2 linked regions of the Canis lupus familiaris genome follow. The protein of the gene in region 1 purifies or fractionates together with the protein of each later gene. This does not show direct contact. Links are inferred from orthologs where the notes say so. Each region holds a gene or a part of one and is shown on either strand. Other genes may lie near its edges.

What was found. The genes of interacting proteins can lie anywhere in the genome.
Region 2: the proteins of TRERF1 (region 1) and DNTTIP1 purify together in Homo sapiens (affinity purification with mass spectrometry; 3 studies listed by BioGRID and IntAct, with this or other methods). This does not show direct contact. The link is inferred for Canis lupus familiaris from reciprocal best matches to the Homo sapiens genes TRERF1 and DNTTIP1.

What each region holds. Positions count from the first base shown.
Region 1 is NC_049233.1:11,232,666-11,236,779, forward strand, and holds the start of TRERF1 (transcriptional-regulating factor 1), read right to left. Parts: upstream 2,881-4,114; 5' UTR 2,701-2,880; intron 2,406-2,700; exon of another isoform or gene 2,287-2,405; intron 2,197-2,286; exon of another isoform or gene 2,062-2,196; intron 2,056-2,061; exon of another isoform or gene 1,854-2,055; intron 1,777-1,853; exon of another isoform or gene 1,699-1,776; intron 1,432-1,698; 5' UTR 1,350-1,431; intron 1-1,349.
Region 2 is NC_049245.1:33,724,979-33,729,112, reverse strand, and holds the start of DNTTIP1 (deoxynucleotidyltransferase terminal-interacting protein 1), read right to left. Parts: upstream 2,913-4,134; 5' UTR 2,875-2,912; coding exon 2,770-2,874; intron 2,189-2,769; coding exon 2,118-2,188; intron 1,244-2,117; coding exon 1,147-1,243; intron 1-1,146. UniProt on the Homo sapiens protein: Increases DNTT terminal deoxynucleotidyltransferase activity (in vitro). Also acts as a transcriptional regulator, binding to the consensus sequence 5'-GNTGCATG-3' following an AT-tract.

The DNA of each region.
Region 1 (4,114 bases):
AGAAGAGAAGCACCGTCCATCAGTAACATGTAGGGAGATCTTTTTTTAAAACCCACTTTTTCCCCTGCTAGAGTTGAGCCTGTCTACAGAACTGCACAAAGCTTAACCAACTTTAGTTAACCACACACCTAGCATTTACTCCCTGACCCTACTAAACATGTCCGGGTTTGGGTCCCTGGTGCCAAAATTATCCTGGCAAAGTTAAAAGTCTCGGCATAATCAAGGTACCTGGCAGTCAAAACCTACCAACTCATGTGCAGAAACCAGCAGGAAAAGAGAGGCAAGGAGAAGCAAAGACTGCTGGTTAACTGGTTAAGTGTGGAGGGCTGCTTGTTATTCTTACAGTGGGCATCAAAACCACATTTTCCATCACCAGATTGCTTTCCTGAAAGGGTAAATGATGCAGAAGGTTGTACCAACTGGGACAACTTAAAACTCATTCCTTAAAGCTCTCCTCCATGGCCTGCTAAAAAAGTGAAGCCAGCCGGCCTTTGGGAGGCTTTTTTTTTTTTTAAAACAACTCTTCAGACACCCCTGGCTTCATCATTCCTAAGCATCACCTCCATGTAGTTCACAAGACAGGCCAGGCCATGCTGTTAGCAACCCGCTCAACACTTCACTTGCCAAAGCCCTGTCTAGTCTGGGGCAGAGTTTCCACAAAGCTGGCTCTAACAGACCAGCCGAAGGCACACGGAAGAACCAGAAGTCATTTTCTCTAACCTAAGGATGGCAGGCGCACATGCTCCAACCCAGCGCTGGCCAGAGGCTGCCCGCCAGGTGCTTTCGGCCTCCGCCAGTGAATGGGTGGTTTTGTGTTATTCTTAAATATCTATTTCTTCAGCCCACCAGCAGTAACTTCCCAGTCTACCAAACTGAAGTTAGAGAGTGAAGGGGCAGGCTCTCCCCCTTATACATTTCTCTTATCTGGGTGGCCACTGTAGCTTGGGGGAGTATCCAGCCCCCAAGGAGCCTACAGGCGCATATACATACATATATGCATCATGTCAAAAACCCAAAAGGCACATCCCTAGGGTTCTGCGGTTTCTTGGCTGGAAGAATGAAGGCTTTATAACATCACAACCTTCAATTGCAAACCCCAACACCACCATCGTTTAAGCCGGGGCTGCCAATTATAGCGCCCATCTCAGCCCTCCCCCCTTTGCCGGGATGCTGGACAGCCCGCAGAGGGACAAGAGAAGAAGGGAAGCAAAAAGAAGGCCCTGCTAACAGACTGAAAGTAAAGAAGTGGGGGGGGGGGCTTTCCCCTTCCCCTCCCCCGTCTTCTCACGGAGCATCCCCCAACTAATTTTTTTTTTTTTTTAATGAAACTTAATAAGCTTCTTGCCTACCTTGGCTGTTTCTGCAACAAGTGCATGGGCAATCCGACAAGACCAGACTCCGCTTGGGGGGTGAGCTGGGGGGCGAGCAGAGCTGATGGAGTAATTTCAATATTAATTTATGTCAGAGCCGCCTTCACGAAGCGCTACTCACTTACAGTACTGCCCTCAGCCTGTAAACAAATATCGCTCCGCCAGGAAACATACTCCCCAGATGCAAGCCCCTTCCCCAGCAGGGAACAGGGCCCTGCGCCGCCCCCACCCCACCCCCAACAGCATGCTCCCCCACCCCGGGGAGGAAGCTCCGGGTTTCCAAAGCACCAACCCACCACCTCCGCCACCACCCCAGCAAGAAACTTACTCGGTCCGTCTACGCCTCCACCCTCCCTTCAGGAAATCTACTCTCCATATGCATTCAGCCTCCCCGCAGGAAATCTGCTCCCCCCTCCCCCCTTCTATATACATGCACCCCTCCCTCTCCTCCTCCCCACGCGCCCTCCCCAACCAGAAACTTACTAGCGTGCAAGCGTGCAGGCTCTCCCGATCCTGGAAACTTACTCCCAGCTATAGCGCCCGCCAGCCCCCTTTCCCGGCCCTGCTCCCCTTCCTGCCCTCCGCGGCAAGCAACTCCAAACTCTCCGCATCCAGCCACTCTCCCTCCCCGGTGGAAATTTGCAGCGCGGGGCCGCGCGCGTGCATCCACCCTCCCCTTCAGGAAACTTACTCCCCATCTGCATGCACCGCCTCTCAGCCATCGCTTAGAGGGAAGGGGGTGTGCTAGGGAGACAGAAATACATATGTATCTCTCGCCCCTCCCCCGGCCGCAGCCCACTCGGGGCCGAGCAGCGGTAACCTGGCCTTACCTTTTGCATTGCTCCCCACCCTCGCCCCCTCCCTTAACCCTCCTTATCCGCTCCCCGGCGCCCCCCTTTTTTCACCCATTACCCACCCCTAGCAACCGTTCCCAAGCTCCTCTCGGCCTTTTTTTTTTAAATCCAGGATGCAAATTCCTCCCCTGTCAGCAAATCGACTGTCAAATTATTTTCTTGCAAAAGGAGAAAGGCGGGGTGGGGGGGGGGAGCAGAAGCAAAAAGGGGGGGGAGGGCGGGGGAAGGGAGAGAGGGACAGAGGAGGGGAGAGATATCCCTCCGCAGAGCTGGGTCTGGCCGCGGGCGGGGAAGCAGGAAGTAAGGTGTCCAGCGCCGCGGCCGCCGGGTCCTCCGCCCCGGCCCCCACCCGCGCCCCCTGTCCCCCCGGGCGCCGCGCTCAGGCGGGCGCGGGCAGCCTGGCGCATTGTTCGCCGCCTCCCCGGCGATGCGCTGCCGACCTTATTTGTGTGCTCTGCTTGTGCGTGAGGTCGCACCTTTTGTAGGCTTGGCGAGACTCTGGACGAGGATGGGGCGGGGGACGCGGACCGAGTGGCGGCCCCGCGGGGGACCTGTCAGCCCCCGGGGTGTGGCGGACTCTCCGGCGTGACCGGAAAATCGAGGCCCGGGAGACGGCGGCGTGGCCGGGAAGCTGCCGCCTTAGACCCGGACCAGTGCAGGATTGCTTCCTGCGTAGCCGTCCCGGTTATTGTAACGAGCTTTGCAATTTAACGACTGGGGTTGGGGGGCTTTATTTATTTTGCTAAGGGGTTGCAAAGACGCCAAGGTCTCGGTGGAGTGCGGAGAGGCGGCCTGCGCCTCCCCCCTCCGCACCCGGGCTCGGCGGGGCTGGGAGAGGGGCTGGGGCTCCCGGGAAGGGGCTGGAGGCTCGCGAAGCGCGCGGCTCCATCCCTCCGCCCCGATGGGGGCGGGGAGGGGGCGCTGCAGACGGCGCAGCGAACGCAGCTCTCTGGGGAGGGGGCTCCATCTCCGCGGCGCTGCAGGCCGGGGAGGGAGGTTGCCTAGGAGAGGAGCCGGGCCGAGAGGGGAGGGCGGGGAGGGGGCGCGGGTGCCGCGGCGGCGCGCGCTCGCCCCTCCTCGCGCGCCATGACTGTGGAACGTGGTGCCGGGGAGGAGGGACGGCCGCCGGGGGCCGCCCGGGGCTGCGCGGCATTGGTGCGGAAACCCGAGCCCGGAGTCGCTCCTCGCGCTGTCTCCTCCTCCTCCTCTGCGGGGGAAACCGCTGCACCCAAACCGAGAGCAGCTGCGAGCAGGGGGCAGGGCGCGGGCTGAAAGGCGAGCCGAGGGTTCAAACCTCGGCGGCGCCGGGGGGGGCGAGGGCCGGACGGGCCCCGGGGCCCCGCGGAGGCGCGGCCGCCCGTCGGTGCAGCGCGGGGCCGCGGCCTTCGCCGGCGTCTCTCCCGGCCGCGGGGAATGGGAGCCAAAGCGGCCCGGCCGCACCGACCACCTCGAGCCGGCCCGGGGCACCTCGCTCACGAGGGGCCCGCCGGACAGCGAGTAGTTGCAGCTCAAGGGAAAGTTAAACCATGCTTTTTTTTTTTTTTTTTTTTTTCCTTTTTCCTTTTCCCCAGCGTGGGGGAGGTCGTTTCGTCCCTTCCCCCAGCTCTGGCGCGAGACCAACGAGGTGCTCCCCTCCCCACACCTTCACCGCTGTCCCCCACCCCCACCCCCACTCGGGCGCTGGGTGGGGACAGGGCGGGGGAAGGCTATATGGGAGCTTAAAGCATGAGGTCATGGGCGGAGGAGGCTGCTGCCAGGAGCGGCCGAGGTTGGTGTCTTTTGAGGGGTAACGGTTTCGGCAGTGTTAAGTTCTCCCGCCTCACCCTACCGATTCCGGGGCGCCTGAGCCAGGGGGCCCCCGAAACAAGAGGGGGCTCTGGGCCGTTTCGC
Region 2 (4,134 bases), on another chromosome or scaffold:
CTCTCTCTGTGTCTCTCATGAATAAATAAAATCTATAAAAAATATTAAAAAAATGTTTAGATAAAAAAAAAAAAAGTTTAGATCCAGTGCTCTGCCCAAAAGTCTAAAAGGGCCTCTATTTTACTCAGAGTAAACCCCAATATCCTTACCATGGCCTCAAAGGTTCTGCATGAACTGGGCCCCTATTTTCTTTGATTACCTCTCCTTATTCTCCTCCTGGCTCAGTCTGCTCTAGCCACACTGGAGACTTTTTTTTTTTTTAAAGATTTTATGTATTCATTCATTAGAGAGAGAGAGAGAGAGGCAGAGACACAGGCAGAGGGAGAAGCAGGCTCCACACAGGGAGCCTGACATGGGACTTGATCCCAGGTCTCCAGGATCCCACCCTGGGCTGAAGGTGGCACTAAACCGCTGAGCCACTGGGGCTGCCCGAGACTTTGTTGCTTTGAGTGTCCAAGCACACTCCTGCCTCAGGGTGTCTGCTCTTGTTCCCTCTGCCTGGGGTGTTTTCCCCTGATGTGTCCACACAGCTTGTTTTTCTCTCCCTTTATTCAGGTGTCTGCTCACATGTGGCTTTCCTGGACACAATCTATGAAACAGCACTACTGTTCCCCACTGGTTACTCTCTCCCCCTTCTCTCTGGCATTTCCTAGCATAGTACTTATTTGTTTAAAGAGGGCAGAGACACTGTTCATTTTGTTTGCTGCTGCATCCTCAGTGCCTGCTATAATGGTGGGTGCTCAGTACATGCTTCTTGAATGAATAAACAAACATAAGAGGAAGAGGTTTAGGAAGAAAGAGTTCAGCTCTGGACATGCTGTTTCAAGCATCTAGGGGACAATCAGGTAGAGTCATGTGGAAGTTTATTTATAGGCCTAGAAAGGAATTTTAAATAATAATAATGTTGATCCTGTTAAACAAATAAGAAAGACACTTGTTTGTAACATGGTGCAGAGCACATTAAACTTAAATTATTTTATCCTCATAATAGCTTGGCGAAAGAGGTATTCAAATTACCTCTAAAGAGGGCGAAAAAAGTTCTCAGGGATTCAGAATTGGAAAACCTGACTCATCTGTTTGTACCAAAAAGAGCGAGGGGGATTGTAATGTAGGAAAGGTCTGCCCTTGCATCTCTGTACCTCTCACCTTCATATACTTGTTGAAGACCGTCTGGATCTCCTCGTTGATGCTAGGCTGCAGGACAGCTCGAAGGAGGTCCATGGAAATGGCAGGATCTGTGAAACTGCATTCAGGAGGGAGACACAGTCAGGGGTCATGTCCCAAACATATCTTTCCTAGTCTGCCCAGCCAATTATTGACACAGGCTCCTTTAATAACAGTAATAGCTTCTATTGAAAACAAGCTATGTGCCCAGGTTCTGTGCAAATGAAACATATGTATGGCTTTATTCCATTTTCATAAGAACCCTACAAAATAAGTATTATTTTTTAAAGTGTTTTATGAAATACAAAGTCTATACACTTTTTTTTTTTTTTCATTTTAACAAATAGTTTTAGTGAACATCCACTTAATCACTACTCAGGTCAAGAAATTTAATCAGGATCCCATGGGTCCATTGTGCTCTCTCCCTTCACTGAGATAAATACTACTATTAGCCTCACTTCTTTCTTTAAAAAAATAAAAAAAAAGATTTTATTTATTCATGAGACACACATAGAAAGAGGCAGACACAGGCAGAAGGAGAAGCAGGCTCCATGCAGGGAGCCCGATGCAGGACTCCATCCCTGGACTGAGAGCATGCCCTGAGCTGAAGACAGACGCTCAACCACTGTGCCACCCAGGTGCCCCAGCCCCACTTTTTTCTAAACCTCTATGCTATTTTGCCTCTTTAGAGCCCTCAACCACAGAGCGAGTGAGTGTTAGGATCTTAGGCACTGCTGAATTCATGATTCCTCCTATTTTGTACAAGAGTTCAGAGGTGGCAATGATTCAACCAAGGTCACATCCAGAGTGACAAAAGCCGAGTCTCCTTTTTCCTAGTCCATTGCTCCTTCTAACAGCTGCTGATCTCTCTTCAGCTCTGTGTAGTGGGGACCCCAAGGGTGCCATCCAAGCCAATCAATGCCGGGGAGGTCAATACTCAGGCCCAGCCTTACCTTGTTGTCATCTGTGAGCGGCGGCCCCTTCGCTGCACCTGCCTGTGCTTTATCATTATGTTCCAAGGGTTCTGTGGGGACCAAGGGAACAGATGTCACCGAGGCTTGTGACACTAGGGTACAGGTGGACGGTGAGTATGAAGTTAAACGTGGACACCTCTGCTTCTCAGGTACTGTCAGCATCTCTCCCACCCTCGGGTAGGCGGGAGGGCAGCGGTTGAAAGGTCCTGCCGGGGTGGAGGAACTGAAGTTTCCTGCCTGGAAAAGTCCCAACCCCACCCTTTCTGGGATGGGAGAGGGAAGGGAACCAGTGTTTACCGAGGGACCACTCTGGGGCTGCTAGCGTGCTGGGCGCTCTGCTCGCCTTTACACCCCATCCCCGTAACAACTTTACGAGGCAGGCACCAATCCTCTCCATTTTACAGAAGAGGAAACTGGAGCTCAGAGGTGACAGGACCGGCTCACATCGCCTAGCCTGGAGGGCGGCACCAGAATTTGAATCCGGGTGGTCGGACTGCGAAAACGCCACCGCCCTGGGCAGCACCAGCCGCCGCGTTCTCTCGCCCGCGGGCCAGGGTCCCGGGAGCCCGAGGCCCAGCCGGCCCGAGCCCAGCCCCAGCCCCGGCCCCGGCCTTCCCGGGGGCGCCCTCACCGTGAGTACCAGCTGCCCCGCTGCGCCCGCGTCGCCCAGCTCGGAGCCGCCCCGCTCTGCCCCGCCGGGTCCCCGCGGCTGCTCGGCGTCGCCAGTGGCCCCCATGGCTCCTCCGGCGCCCCCCAACCTCAGCCCGACTCTGCCACCGGCCGGAAAGTGGCCCTGTGACGTCATTGGAGGGCGCCGCGAGCCGGCCCGGAAGCGCGACGCGGCGAGCCGCGGGGTTTCCATGGGAACCGCAAGGCCGCGTCCCGCTGGGGCCCGGAAGCAGGCAGGCGCTGTGAGCCGCGCGGCGGGGGCTTCTTCTGCGGCCCGGCCGGCTCCTCGGGTGCGGACTGTGGGTATTTGGCCCGGGAGCGCTCCCCGCTGGGCCAAGGCGGGTGGAGAAGTGCGGGGCAGGAAGGACGAGAGCGGGCTCTCGGGGCTGGAGCTTAGGTGCGGAGGGGAGCACAGCGGGGCCCACAGTTCAGTCTTTGAAAGCCGTAGAGTGCGCCTAATGCGGGGACCCGAAAATTCAAGAGGGGGTCTGGCCCATGCCCTTCCAAACACCCACCGGGTCCCTCGAGGCCTAGGCTCCAGGGGATGCCTCTTGCATCTAAAGGCATCATAATGAAGGTTGGGTCTTGGCCCGTGGACTCTCCCAAGCCCCAGCGACCTGGGCTTCTCTCTCCAGGAAGGTGATCCTGGGATGGGCGGGGATGCAGAGGTTTAACAGCTATGGAGTTTCGCAAAGCTCCCCTTAGCTCTGGCTTAGAGGTAGGATGTCCGTAAATAGAACTGGATCGATTTACGGGTAGTAGAGAAAGTTCCTTTTCCAAGGTCACAATGTGGAATAGTAAAACGTACATGAGTTTTTATTTGTATTTTGTTTATTCATGAGAGACTGAGAGAGGCAGAGACATAGGCAGAGGGAGAAGCAGGCTCCCTGGAGGGAGCCCGATGAGGGACTCCATCCCTGGACTGGGATCAGGACCTGAGTCAGAGGCAGACGCTCAACCGCTGAGCCACCCAGGCGCCCCAGTACCTGAGTTTTTAATGTAGAAAGATATGAGTTCAAATCCAGCATGATATGGTGATTAAGAATATTGACTATGGAATTGGTCTGCCTGCCTTTGGTCTACCACCCTCTGTGTGATCCAGGTTTCTTTCTGTGCCTCAGTTTCCCTATCTGTAGAGTGGGGACAATGGTACCTAACTAATAGGGTTGCACTTAAGGATTAAGTGAGCTAATTCATGTGAAGAACTCTGGCACAGGTAAACCCCCAAGCAATGCTATCTGTCACTGCTATTATTAAATTCCAGTAACCACCATTTACTAGCTTTATGACGTTGGTCATTCTTTCTCAACCCCTCTGAACCAGTTTT